Linked DNA regions of Coturnix japonica. The protein of the gene in region 1 binds, or shares a complex with, the protein of each later gene. Links are inferred from orthologs where the notes say so. Each region holds a gene or a part of one and is shown on either strand. Other genes may lie near its edges.

The links. The genes of interacting proteins can lie anywhere in the genome.
Region 2: MYBL1 (region 1) and TFDP2 share a complex: the UniProt entries of both Homo sapiens proteins name them as parts of the DREAM complex. The link is inferred for Coturnix japonica from reciprocal best matches to the Homo sapiens genes MYBL1 and TFDP2.
Region 3: MYBL1 (region 1) and LIN52 share a complex: the UniProt entries of both Homo sapiens proteins name them as parts of the DREAM complex. The link is inferred for Coturnix japonica from reciprocal best matches to the Homo sapiens genes MYBL1 and LIN52.

The regions. Positions count from the first base shown.
Region 1 is NC_029517.1:104,292,727-104,297,124, forward strand, and holds part of MYBL1 (myb-related protein A), read right to left. Parts: intron 3,725-4,398; coding exon 3,619-3,724; intron 3,487-3,618; coding exon 3,415-3,486; intron 986-3,414; coding exon 893-985; intron 93-892; coding exon 1-92. UniProt on the Homo sapiens protein: Transcription factor that specifically recognizes the sequence 5'-YAAC[GT]G-3'.
Region 2 is NC_029524.1:8,785,269-8,790,127, forward strand, and holds the start of TFDP2 (transcription factor Dp-2), read right to left. Parts: upstream 3,286-4,859; 5' UTR 3,111-3,285; intron 1-3,110. UniProt on the Homo sapiens protein: Can stimulate E2F-dependent transcription.
Region 3 is NC_029520.1:34,236,399-34,241,538, forward strand, and holds the start of LIN52 (protein lin-52 homolog), read left to right. Parts: upstream 1-1,855; 5' UTR 1,856-1,947; coding exon 1,948-1,966; intron 1,967-2,053; coding exon 2,054-2,128; intron 2,129-2,223; coding exon 2,224-2,261; intron 2,262-2,782; coding exon 2,783-2,849; intron 2,850-3,347; coding exon 3,348-3,431; intron 3,432-4,712; coding exon of another isoform or gene 4,713-4,726; exon of another isoform or gene 4,727-5,140. Other genes in the region: ALDH6A1 (methylmalonate-semialdehyde dehydrogenase [acylating], mitochondrial), read right to left, coding at 492-566, 1,410-1,469, 1,603-1,653.

The sequences.
Region 1 (4,398 bases):
CTCTCTCTGCACTGCTTGCCTATTCTTCCTTTCAGGTGTTTTGCAATTAGAGACCAACGCTTTGGACCATACTTTTGAACTAATTCAATAACCTGGAACACAGATGGAAGTGTGTTATAACTTCAGATCCTAACTTTTCCTACCCCTCCACCCCCGAAAAGAAGTCCCATTTTAGAAAAGGATTGTAATAGTCAATTTGATAAGACATAAGGCCTAAGGAAGTAGACAGTTTAAAAAATAAAATAAAATCTTACTCCCCAACCCCTTCCTATAGTCTTTAGGTTGTGTTGTTTGGTTTTAAATTACCTTTGAAATTTTTCTTTAAAAGACTGATGAAAACTGTTAAGTGATGGGTTAGGCAGGTCATATTCAGAATTTGACAAATACTAGTTTTAAACAGTGGGAATAAGCAGTCAATTTAAAATACAGTATGTGAAAGCTGAAAGTGCATCTCCCTACGGGGAGTCTGGGTTTTGCAGGCGAGAAGCTGCAGTGTAGTAGATTAACAGAAGTGTGGAAAAGGAAACCAATGAGCTTTTATTAGCTTCTTTAATAGCAGAGCATGAAATAATTTCTCTCAGCCCCAGTCCCTTTAAGTTTGGTGGGTTTCAGAAACAGAAGTTGTAAATGAGACCTTTGATGCCATAAAGAGATCACTTCTGCACAGCAATCTGAACAAAACACTTTAGTATACCAGACACTCCATCTGATTAAGAGCAGCTTCATTTTTTTTTCCCTCACAAACAGTGTAGTGCAATGTAATTCTGTATGTCACACAATGTATGAGACATCACATGTGGGGTTGAAGCCTAAGAAAGAGGTAGTCACTCCTAGCAGCCATATGTTAGCTTTATTACAGTAAAGGAGTACAGTATCAATTAGTTTTCATTACCCTCTGATCTTCTTCTTTAGTCCAAGGACCCTTAATCAATTCTGGGTTTAGTACCTTCTGCCATCGATGCTGGCACTGAAAATCTGAACGATTCTGAAATAAAAGACCAATGCAGTTGGTACACTATTAAATTTAAGTTTTATTTTTAAAGTTCTCCCCTATTATTTCTTCCTTGCAAGAACACTTCTGGAAAAAAAAAAGAATAAAAAAGCAACTTTACACAAAATTCTAATCTGATTACAATGGTCTTATTTGATCATTGAGTTAACAACTTAATTGCCTCTAAGGAAGAACTTTGTTATTTCATCCTCATTACTCCCCACCTTTTCTGACCTTTAAGCAATTTACATGCTTTTGACATTAATGTTTCTTTCCACATATAGACTATTGATCAAAGAAATACTTTTTCTTTCAACAAAATATTTTCCTAAGCCTCAAATGTATGCATTCTCAGTTTTTCACTACAGCTCTAAGGAAAAGAGGTTTATATCAAGTTTAGCTAACACTAATTAAACAACATGGCTTTTTCTGATCAGGACAGATGGTGCTTTTCTGTAGCTTCACTAAAGATCTTTTGAAATATTGTTCCCGGTTATGAAAGAGAAGCTTTCACTTCACCTCCTACAAAGCACCTGGACGAGAAATTGGGATTACCAGGAGATTGGCCAGATCCCTACAAATATACAGATGAGACCTTGATCCAGTACAGCGAAGTAGCATGCCTTTCCTGATGTCAGGACACAGTAATTTGCTGTCTTCAGTGCAAGCTGCTGGATAGCAAGTACTGATTTCAAAGCATTACCATGCTAACAAAAAGTTAAACAAGAGGCAGTTTGCAAGACCACAAAAGGCACCATTATATCTAAAATTACCATCATAATTTCAAGTTAATCACAAATAGACATTGTGGGTTTAAAAGCGCGCTGGAATTAATTATTATAAACACATAATTAGCCAGCAAAGATGAGCTGTAAAATATAGACTTCCAGTAGATGCCAGTTGTTCCCATTTTCAGTGGGAGAAAAATTTTGAAGCTGGAGCCTTGTAATATTCTTACCTTCAGTTTCTGAAATCATGACATTTGGAGTAGAGAAGTAAGAGATAAAACAAGGTGAGATAAAACAAAGTCATTTCAGGTCATCCACTTTAGCCACAGTAAATTGAGGGAGAACAAACACAGGCTGCATTTTCTCCCCCTTGAGAGTCACCTTTCAGCGTTCTTTTTTTGGGCAGAATAGAAAGGAAGGTTTATTTGTGCCCAGACCAAAAATGAAACAGTTCTAAAAATACGCTGGTAATTCAGTTGGTCTTCCTAGCAAAAGAGCGTCAGTAACAAAGTGCTACTCGAGCCAATCCCTATTATTTGGCTTTGTAATTTGAATACAGCAACAGGTTGCCTGGAGAGGCTGTAGAGTCTCTATCCATGGAGATATTTAAGACCTGACTGGATACAGTCAATCAGGGCTGGCTGCCCAGGACTTGCCCCATATGACTGTGCTTGAGCAGGGGGCTCAGACCAGCCGATCCAGCCTCAATCATGGGCAGTCAGATCCTCTGTGTATGTTTCCCACGATAGCTGAGGAATCTTTTATCAACCTCACTTGCGCACAGCTGAACAACAGCTGCCTGTCTCAAGAAGCATTTGTCTTCAACCATATCATCCCACTCAGTATTACAGGAACCAGAAACAGAGTTTTAATTTTTAGATTTCTAACATCCAAATACTCTGTACCACTTGTTGGTAGTGATTTCAGCCTTCATAAATTCTAACCATGTTTTTATATTTTTCCACAACATTTAATCAGAACAGAAAGAACCATCGTTTGTTTTGTTGCAAGCTTTTTCTACCACTGCAGCTCATACAGCTGATGAGTCATTTAGCAATTGAATTGACAGCACCTTCACTCATTCCAGTTGTCTGCCAGAACAGAACATTAAAAAAATTATAATAGTAAACTTTCAAGAAATGTGCTAAGGTTCCATTAGTAGCAACCAAAGATATCACTGAGTGGAGAGATCTACATTTAATAGGGAAGCTGATGTCCCTGTAACAACAGCAATGAAAAATAAAAACAGAAACATACAAATACCATTTCTTAAAGTGCTAGGGAATCAATCCTGCTCCTTTGAAACAATCTTTCAGGTGCAATCCACTTTCCTACCCGCTTCACAAGCAAATAGTGAACTGTAGATGCAATCACCACAAGGGAAACAACCCATGTAAAATCAGAATACGTTCTATAACAAAAGCAAATACCAAGTGTGGATTCAAATGAAAAAATGCATATACTTTTTTAAATTGATGACTTAAAGTCATTTCAGTTCATCATTCAGGTCCACCTGAGCCCCAAGTTTCCTGAAGTCTGAGCAAGAATTCAAGCCCACATTACAAGCATCCTTTACATATACATAAACATATACAGTAGGCTTTCTGGTTTGTTTCATCTCAATTCCAAACTAAAACATAAGATCAAAGTAGAAAAAATCAGAAGGAACTTAAGTGAAACGAAATTTCAACTTACTTGTAGATGACTAGCGATGAAAGCCCAATCGTCCGTACCATTTTGTTCCACCAGCTTCTTTAGCTTCTCATCCTGTTAAGACAATCTCAGCCAATAAGTATTACAAGCTACCCCAATACTAAAGAAAAACACATTTCAATACTTGACCAACATAAAATAGTAAGGAAATGCATTAAAAAAAATAAAAATAAAAACAAAAATCACCTCATCACGTGTCCATTTCACCCTGTTACATATCTTCTTCAAGCTTCTTTGCTGTGAGACTTCATAGTCATGATCTGCGTATTGAAAGTCATCATCTTCTTCACTGCTGAGAACAAGAGGGTGAAGAAGTTGGAAACAGACAACTCTAATTTATTCTAACTACTTGTAGTTTTCTCCACGATCATTACATATCCTCACATGAAGCTCTCATTAACGTAAGACCTGCCTCTAGTAGCAACTTCATAATCACTATATCAAAGGAACAGACTTTGGTTGAATTTCCAGGCCGTATACCAGGATGCAGACATAAATCATGCCAAGAGAAGATGTAAGTTTAAAGCAAAAGCTGTTAAGATCATCTTTTTGTACCACATTTGTGAATCTTTATTTAAAAATAAAAAACAATAAGGAAAGGATCACTAGTCTGAAAAGATCTACTCATGTTCCACCTCCATAAACCCTACAACAAACACATGGATACTGAAGAATTCACTGTCAGCTTGAGTTTTTAAGTGGTCTCCTGCCTTCGGTATCTCCTCAGCGTTACAGATACAAATCACAGCTTGGAAGACAGAAACAGTGAAGCAAGAAATCAGTGCATTGTACGCACTGACCCACTGGGTAAGAGTCAGCGGGGCGGGAAACCAGGTAACGATTGCAGCTCCACGTAGGTCACACTCCATCTACTGGAGAAATCCCTGCTTCACAGCCTTAATAAACAAAGCCTTTCAAATAGGAAGCACAGGGAAATGCTTCATGGAAACAACACTCAAACTTACA
Region 2 (4,859 bases), on another chromosome or scaffold:
ATTAGTGTAAGATAACAAAACCTGCAGAAGAGCTGCTATAAATCCAGAAACACAGGAAAAATCAAGCGGCTCTCATTCTAACAATGGATGCTACAAAAAGACAAAGAATCAGAACAGGCAGCTGTTGTAAAACCAACATTCCACTGCTGTATCTGCTCCTTTCTGCACTGCTTCCAAGCATACAGAAGCATGTGCTGAGTTCTTCAAGCCCCACAACAGACATTCACACCATTGGTTTCCATGTCCTATGCACACTGGTTCTGTGCATTGCTCTCCTCTGAACACCTGTCAATTGTGAGCCTGTCTCATTGGCTCCAGTGGCTTTTTGGTTCTGTACACACAACCACCTCCACAAGCACATTTCCTGCACCAGGCCAGACAACTGCCAGCTTATTTTCCCTATTTTACAACCCGCTGTTGGTTCATTAGTAGTTGTGTCCTACGAATACAATTGGAAAAGTAAATGAGAAATTCTTACTCGTTACACCTCCAAGTATGTGCAGAAAAAGCACACAAAGAAAGAAACCTCAGCTTACTGAACCTGCCCGGTACGGGCTGCAGTTTCCCTCCCCTGACCCGGTCAGCTCATTTCAGAGATGAGCACCATGCTCTCCCCAACGCACAGCGAGTTTTGCTGACTTCAAATGACCAACATCACGTGTTCCTGAAGGGGATGGAAAGCTGGAACCACAGTTCCTACTTCTTGCTAAACCCAGTGGAAGGTGCTAAAATACAAAGCCTTATCTTCACTTGGTGGTTGCTCACAGGCAGCTCCAGATGTATAGGAGGCTCCTGCAATACTGTCCAATACACACAAGAACAGGAACAAACCAGGAGTCCTCCTGCAGCAGGAACAGCCCTGCTGTGCTGCTCAGCCTGCTCCTTCACATGGCAGAGCTGTGCTGAGCTGCTGCACACAAGGCACAGCCTCACCACTCTGTGAAGTGAGCCGACCCACTGGAACCCACTAGAGGAACAGCGGCCTTCCCATCAGTGCCGTATGATTTCAGCAACGCTAATTCTATCAACCTCACGCAGGTCAAACAGCTTCTTTTGGTTCTGTTAGCACAGTGATTTCTGTGCAAGCAGGAAGCGGTTACAAGAAGCCCCAACAGCTTGTCTGTAAAATGTGATCAGTCTAACACACAGCCATGAGGTAAACCTACCAATATCTAACAATTAACCACCTTTTCCTCTGTACAGAACTGAACCATTCTCAGAGCCATTACTCTTAGCTCTTCCAGAGGCACCAGGCTCACTGCACAACCATTTCCCAACAAGAATTTATGCTTTTTCTCCCTCTCCTCACCATTTATTTGATGTATGTTCATTTCTGCGACGTGAACTTAAGCTTCCACGTTTCTTTGAAGTGCTGCATCAGGTGCCCAGCAGGTTACTGCAAACACAGGCTCTCAAAATGCAGAATTTGGCTATGTACAAAAATGCCTCCATGCAATACAGAGCACCAGCAAAAACGTCCCGAGATGCTGTTCCACCTCTGTGCTCCAGCAGCAGCCACGGGTCTGCCCCGTGTGAGCACATCACTGCACTCATGGACAAGGTAAAAAGTGCTACAATCAGGAAAACAAGCCTTAATGCAGGCAAAGAAATGGCAAAGCTGTTACTCGTTTCTCTTCTAGTAGCATCAATTTATACAGTCTCTGCCTCTCTCTATGTATATGTTCTGGCTTTTTTTTAATACAAGATCACATCTAGTCGAGATGTGTGCAGTAGATGTGTACAGTACCACAAAAGCAGCTCTGGTTCTGACCTCATTTCTACTGCCTTACAGTACAACTGTGCAGCTGAAAGAAACCAACAGCGAGGAATATTAACAAAGACCCGTGAAAATAACCGAACCCATTTCCAAAATAAAAACACCGGTCGCGTAACCATCGCATCTGAATTTCCCACCCGCCGTGTTGAAGAGTGAGCAAGTCAGTGGGCGCCGCTCCGCACAGACGCGACCACCCGCTTTGTGTCCGCTCACAGCACGGCGGGGCAGGAGGCACAAGGAGCGGAGCAGCACGTGAGGGCGGCACGGAACGGAACGGAACGGCAAAGCACAGCAATGCACGACGCAGCAATGCACGGCACGGCACAGCAATGCACGACGCAGCAATGCACGGCACGGCACGGCACAGCACGGCACGGCACGGCACAGCACAGCAATACACAGCACAGTAATGCACGGCACAGCAATGCACGGCACAGCAATGCACGGCACGGCACAGCACAGCAATACACAGCACAGTAATGCACGGCACAGCAATGCACGGCACAGCAATGCACGGCACAGCAATGCACGGCACAGCAATGCACGGCACAGCAATGCACGGCACGGCACAGCACAGCAATACACAGCACAGTAATGCACGGCACAGCACGGCGCTCCGCAGCCCGTTGCCAGCCCCGCGCTGCGGTTTTCTCCCCCGTTCGGAGTTAGCTCCCTTACGAGCTGTTTTCTTCCCTTTGTCTGCACACCCGGATCCGATCCGCCGCACTCACCCCGCCATTCGCCTCCGCCTTGAAGCCCGTGCGGCCTACGGCGTGCAGGGCAGGCCCTGAGCCCTCAGCCCTCAGCCCTGATCCGGCGGGGCGCGGCGAGCGGCGCTTCCAACTTTTGTCGTGGCGGCCTCGGCGCGTCCCCGGGCACCGCGCGCACCACAACGACCCCCCACAACAACCCCCCCACTCCGCCCCGCCGCCATCGGCACCGCGGCCCGGCCGCTCACACCGGCCCGTCACCGAGAGGCCCCGCGGCACCCTGCGCCGTGTCACGTACCGGCGGAGCCCCAAACACAGCCGGGAGAGCGCGCGGCCAACGCAGGTGTCAGGTCAGCGGCCGCACCGGCACAGACACACACACACACACACACTCACACACCCCGCCTCACGCAGTCACACCCAGGCCGTGGTGCGGTGCAGGCCCTGTCCTTCTCGAGGCGCGTTTGAAGCGCAATCCCCGGCCCGAATGAAGGCGCTGCTGTCCCGGCGGGATCCCGACGCGTGTCTCTCAGGCCCGGGCGGGAGAAGGGAACGAACGCGGCAGCGCCACCGGACCCGGGCGGCGACGCTGAGGCGCCGAGACGCGCCGTCCGCTCACTTACCGGCCGCGGTTCCGCTCCACACGCCGCCGCCTGGCGAGGAGCCCCGCAGCTCGGCCCGGCAGGGACAGGCCGCGAGTCCCGCTCCGTGGCGCCGCGATCGCTGCGCGGCTGCTCCGGCCCGATCCCGCCGCGCTCTGCCCGGCTCCTTCTCCCCCGCACAAGCTTGGCGGCGTCTGCCGGCCGGCCGCTCCCATTGGCCGCCGCCTCGCGCGAGGTCGGGCGCCCTCGGCGCACCATTGGCCGCGCCTGGTGTGTGTACACACGCCGCCAGCCAATCCGAGGAGGCCGCTGCGAGAGGGGGCGGGGCGGAAGGGCGGGGCGCCTCTTCCCAGGCGGCGCCTCAGATGCGTGTGGAGCCGCGACACGGCGGGAACGGGACGGAGCGAGCGGGGCGGGGAGCGGAACGGAGTGCAGGGAAACACAGCACAGCTGGGTGTTACTGATGGACAGGGACGGCAGGGAACAGCCATCGGCACCAGAACAGGGTCCTGAGCTAAGGAGCGAGAGCCGGATGGTTATTGCCGTGGGACGGCTCACAGGCGGTTATTAATCACAGGCCCAGGAATGTGCTGACCGTGCGCTTTCTGTTCTTTATCATTCCCTACGAAACAGTCACACGTAACAAGACCTTTATCAATACCTGCAGTTACGTAAGAAGCTTAAACGAAAGCATTAATAAACCATATGCAAAATGGAGCATTCCCTCACATAGCTGCCAAGGCCCCAAGCAGCTCACAGTCAACACAGCAGGCCGTGCAACGCAGCAGGCCGTGCTGCGGGAAAGGAAGGCAGCAGAACAGAAGCCAGGCAGAGTGCCTGGTTTCCTGCAGTCCTCCTAAGTTCCATGTGCTAAACCCAGATCTGAACTCAAATACTGCCTCAATAAAAAGTCATGTGTGTCTTTAAAACTTCTTTCTAGTTCATTTGGTTATTTTTATGCAGTGCTTACAAAGTTATGTCAGATGCTGTGATTACAAGAAAAAGGCATTTAACCATTGTGGAAAGGAGATGGACGGTGACTGCTGTAGCTGGCATTGGCTTTCAGTGCCTGCAGAACGAGCTGCCTTTGTATGCACACACTGCTCAGCTTGGAGATGCTGAAATGGTCAGTTTGCAGTAAGCACCACTTGTGCATGGTTCTAAACCAACCTGTTACTCCTCAGAACTTAGACACAGCCCAAACTCAGTCTCAGAAGGAGATCCACACTGAACACTGCTGTAACAGGTTCCTTAGCTCTGCAGGGAGTCAGTGATTTCCTGCAGTAAGACCCACACTTCGGAAGCTCTGACGCTGCTCTCTGGTTGGTGGCTCAGCACAACACCGTGTTCCCCATCTGGTTGATACTTTCCAGATCATCTCCCCTTTTCCTTTTCATAACACGTTACTTTGCACTGTTTGCTCATTTCAATGCTTTGTGAGCCCACAACCCATGCTGTAATATCAACACACACCCATAACCCCCACAGCCCACATTTCTCCTGAAGAATGAGCTCAACTTGTCCGTCTCGCTGTAAAACCTCAAACTAAAATGTGGCCCAACCTCTGGGTTGACATACTCCGACCTGCAGTTTGTCTGAAGAGGAAGCGACATCTTTGCCTGTACCTCTGGGTCTGGAACGGTAAGAGAGAAAAAACACAACAAAAAGAACGTTTAAAAAACCTATCCTTATTTCATGCCCCACTGACTGGCAAGAAATGGTTCTTACCTTATTTTCACAAGGCTGCTGTTCAAATGGTGAGTCCCAGCT
Region 3 (5,140 bases), on another chromosome or scaffold:
ACATCACACACCTCATACTTCTATTCTAAAAGGAGCTATACTTTTCAGAAGGAAAACAGAAAAGAGACTCCTCTCCTAGTGCACACTGAGAGGCCTGGACCATAGCTGGAATTCTATGCATTTTGTAGTTCTGTAAATCTTCAGTCTACACATCTCAGATCAGGCACTCAGCAAACTGTAAATGAAGCACTGTTTCCCGAGTGGGAATTTCAGAGGCTTGTCTGACATAATTTGCAGTTTGATCAGGACTTCATGTTCAGCTGGCATCAAACCATATCAGGTTGCATATATGCAGGATGACAGCTGAAATTTTGACATCACATTCACAGAGCCTTTCTATGTGAAAAATAGTTAAGAAAAGTCTTAAGCTCCAACTCTAAGCTTTCTCCAGAAGCACACATACTTCCCCCTTTCATCGAGTGATTCAAGGAAATCACAGCATCCTCTTGCACACCGATTGTGGGTATATGAGCAGAAGCCATTTCACTTACAGGATTGTGGATATCAATCCATTCTGTGGTTTTGGACTCGACAAACTTCCCATCGATGAACAGTTTAGTTGTTGGCTGTGGAGGACAGCACAGTGAGTGATCTTTCCCTGAAAGTGCACACATAACAATGTGCCCTGTTATGTGCAGGCTTTTGCTATTTCCCACTGTACTCCATCATTTTTTTCCCCTTGATTTAGGCTAAAATTGTCAAAACCCCGTCTAAAAACTATTACAGAAGATACACATTGATAGAATCATGTTCAGAACTATTTTAATCTACTCAGTCACTACAATTGCTAAGTCATAAAAACCCTGCAGTTCACAGACATATTTAAAAGAAACCAGTTAATAATTCACTTGGTAAGAATTCTGCCCATTAGTTAAGGAGTTCAGGTAAGTATGGAGAAGAAAAAGCAGGGGTAGAAGATGCAGTTAGTGCTGCAACATGCAGGAAGAACTGGGGCCATATAAGTGAAGAGATTGGAATATAGTGCCAAAGGCTTTGCTGAAGTCTAGGTAGACTGTGCCAACAGCCTTTCCCTCATCCACCGGGCAGTTCACCTGGTGAGGGCAGGGATGCTAATGCTGCTGTGATGGTGGGAGAGGGATCAAAGGACGAATCAGGAAAATAAATGGGGCTGAGCCGGACAGGTCACGGCTGCGAAGAGTGTAATGGATAAGCGAGGCCTCGGCTTGTGAAGGAACGCGGCGGTGGGTTAAAATAAGAATAAGACATGACAAGTGCTGATGTGGCTGGCGTTACGGCGGGACGAGCCGTGCCGCGGGCTGCACTCGGGATAACACCATCTTCAGAACTGAAGGGAGAGCAGGAAATCCGAGCTGCTCCTCGGCCCGGCGGAGCCACCGCCGCGGGCCCCTCCAGCCCAACAGCAAACAGAGCTGCCCGGCCCCACTCACCACGGAGGAGGAGGAGACGGCGGCCGAAGCGATCCAGGGAGCCCCGGCTGTCCGCGGCAGCTGGATGTGGACACAGAGCAGCCCGGTTACACGGTGCTCCCCTCCTCCTCCACACCCCCCACCTCCTCCCCACCGCCCCCCGAGGTGCCACCCGCGGCCCCTCCCGCAGCGCTGTGTCCGTGTGCCGCCTCACCCTGAGCACCACGCGCCGCCCGCCCCAAGCGCCACGAGCCACCGCCGCCATCCCGGCCGAGGGTCACAGCGCTCGGACCCCGAGCGGAGCCCCCAGCACAGGGACCCGCCCCCGCCCGCTCATTGGCCAGACGAGCGCCCCCCCCGCCCGCTGTACGCCCCCCCCGAGGGGGCCTTGCCGGCCGCCAGCCAATCGCTGCCAGGGAGAGCGTCGCCCCGCCCCTTTCCCGCCACCGCCCCCCCATCCGGGGCAGCGATTGGCCACGAGCACTAAGGCGCTCGGGCTCTGTTGTCACGTGGGTGGATTCCCGCGGGCTGTGGGTTTAGGTCACGTGACGCAGGCAAGATGGCGGCTCCCGGTGACGGTAAGGCGCGCGAATGGGGTCATCGTCACCCTGCGGTACGGTCTGAGCGGGCGCCGCTTCACCTCCGTTCTACTCCCTGTGCTGTAGGTGCCGATCTGGAAGCCTCTCTGCTGAGCTTCGAGAAGCTCGACCGGGCTTCTCCGGACCTGTGGCCTGAGCAGTGTGAGTGAGTGCGGCGGGCCCGTGTCGCTGGGGTGATGGCGGGGCTGCCGGGCCGGCCCCGCGCTCACCCGGCGCTGTTCGGTTCTCTCTTGCAGTGCCCGGCGTCGCCGAGTTCGCCGCCTCCTTCAAAAGCGTAAGATGCCAACACCACGGCACTGCGGGTCATACAGGCACTGCGGGAGGGACGAGCTGCGCAGGAACGCGCTGCTCTAAGCCCTGGGGGTGCTGCTCTTACTGCTGGCTTTGGCTGTGACTTGCAGTAACACCCAACTCGTCCAGGAAGAGCTTTCTAGGCATTAGAGTAGCCCTGTAGGGTGCCTGGAGCCATCGCGTTTATTCTTTCAGTGTAACTGGTTGTAAATAGGTGACGGAGCACTGGAACAGGCTGCACAGGGAGGTGGTGGAGTCTCCTTCTTTGGAGATATTCAAGACCCGCCTGGACACCTACCTGTGTGACATGGTGTAGGGAGCCTGCTTTGGCAGGGGGGTTGGACTCGATGATCTCTAGAGGTCCCTTCCAACCCCTACAATTCTGTGTGTGTAAATGCTATATCAGGCTTTGTATGCAGCTAAAAATGTACTTCTCTGAGAATGTTTTGCTTTTTTTTCTTCCTTTCTTTTTGTTCTTTTTCTTTTTCCTCCCCCCCAAACCAGCCTATTACAAGCTCGCCTCCCAAATGGATGGCTGAACTGGAGAATGATGATATCGATATGTTAAAGGGTGAGTATGGGCTCCATGGGCACTGAGGCTGTCTGCGGGTGGGAATTCAGTGCCTACTAAAAAGATGAGCTCAGAGACCTTCTGAAGCCTTGTGGAAAGGAAGGGATGGGGGATGCTCCTCTTAATCTGCAGACCATCTTAACCTGCAGAACATCTCCAGTTGAATGATTCTGCTTAGGAGTCTTTGTCTTGTCAATTGCCTCTATCTTTAGTTGGTCCCACAAGAATATATACTGATAACAAAAATGCTGTTGTTCTCCTTGTTACTGCTTTTTGAAGCAGTAAATCCCTGCTGTTTATTTTTTCTTCATTTTTTTTGATTGCTTTGGAACAGTTAGAATGTCTTGCTGGTTATTATGAGTTGTGAGAGCTGAAGAACATATGCTGTACACTGTAAACCGATACTGTTCAAAGTATAACTTGAATGCTCTGTGAAGCGATAAACATAAGCTGCCACTAGAGGGCTACAGTGTTAAAAATCACGCTTTTTCCTTTTAGAGCTGGGAAGCCTCACTACAGCCAACCTGATGGAAAAGGTTCGTGGCCTGCAGAATTTGGCATATCAGCTGGGACTGGATGAATGTGAGTTCTGTGCACAGATGTGATGACTGTATTATGAATCTTGCCACTGAAGTGTGTGTTTATGTTGCACTTACAGTCAGAAAAGTACGTTTGCTGAAGTGGGGAATGTCACACAATTATGACAGTGCAATAGAGAATTTTCTGAAGAAAAAAAGAGTGCTGCTCTAAGCAAGTCTATCATGGATGCAGTGGAGCCTAATAGAGCACATTTAAAAGAATTTCTTATTTTAGGTCTTGTTTTCTGTTTTGAATGCTAAGGTCCAGTGTTTTCTAGTGGCCCATCAATTTCTGACTTAACTTTGGCTTAGGTAAATCACTCAGTTTGCTTCATTTACCGCTTAGGTGCTAACACTCTGTCACAGAGTATCTGTGCCACCACTTCTGTGACTGTGCGTTTGTGTACTGCCTACAGAGTGAAAATGTAACTGGTGTGCAGGATTCTGTTAGCCATTAGTGCTCTTGTAACTTTGGGCTTCTGCAGTTATTTATTTTCCATAGTCAGCTATAGCAGGAGGTGCTGTCACTGCATTCTAAAGTTGACCTTCATCCTGCTTACCAACAACCAATTTATGTCAGTGCCTTTTTTGAAGGGGGGTGGGGGTGGGAGTGGGGGTGGGGATGGGGGGAAGATGCGTTTTTTTTATTGTCATTGCATATAGGATTTTGTTGTTAATGTGCTGATCCGGCTTTGAAGATTCCAAAGGGATTGTGCTTCCTTTAAACAGTATCTGTGTGTACTGATGCATTTAACTTTTACTGCTTTATTTTGCTCTGTCTTAGACTTCAGTTTTAGCAAACTCTTGAGCTTTACATGAGGCTTTGAAAATTTTTAGGCTCAAAGATTTTTTTCAGCTTTATTTCAGTGGGTAACAAAAAGCAGTTGAACTTTGAAGTCTCGTGATTGTGAGCCTGGAATACATATTTCTTATCAATAGATCATTAAGCCTGTTTGAACACTCTCTCCATAGGTAGAAATTTACTTTCAGTGCCAACATCTACAAGGATTGAATAAAGCTTTTAGTGGAGTAGAAGTTATACTTTAACAATGGAAATCTTAATCAAATAATAAGATTGGCTGGTGGTTTGCTTTCTCGATTTATATAACGTCTCACTGTATTTGCAATTTATTTTCACCAAAGTCTATCTCTGTAACACATTGAGTGCTTTGTGTGTCATGACGTATACATGTATGTTAGGAAATCTTCCATATATAATTAAATGCTGAGTTTGACATGGGCTCTCAGCACTGTTTCTTCCAATACTGTCTTTTTCTCTTTGCAGACCTAGGTTATTAAGAGAACAAGAAGAAAAATCCCAAAGATCTGCTCATTAATATTAAAGAGCTTGTGCTTTTGTTTCAGTGGTATATAATTTGATTACATCTTTTTGTATTGAAACACAGTATTCTATATTTTACATAGTTGATAATCAAAACTGCTTATCAAAAACAGAATTAAGAAACCTTGCTGACCACCCTCCTCTAGATGGCATCATGAAGCTTCTGATAGAGGTCTTGATACTTTTAATTTTGTGCAGTTTGTCCTGATTTGTCTCAAGAGTTATTTTGACGCTTCTTGTGTTCTAAATTTGCACTGTCCTTTTGACACTATTTTCTTGTTTCCTCTGTATTGTGTGAAAACATTTCTGCTTTATTGTGTCAGTGTTTTATTTTTATTACTTTCCAGTGCCCGCTTCTACATTTCAATTCC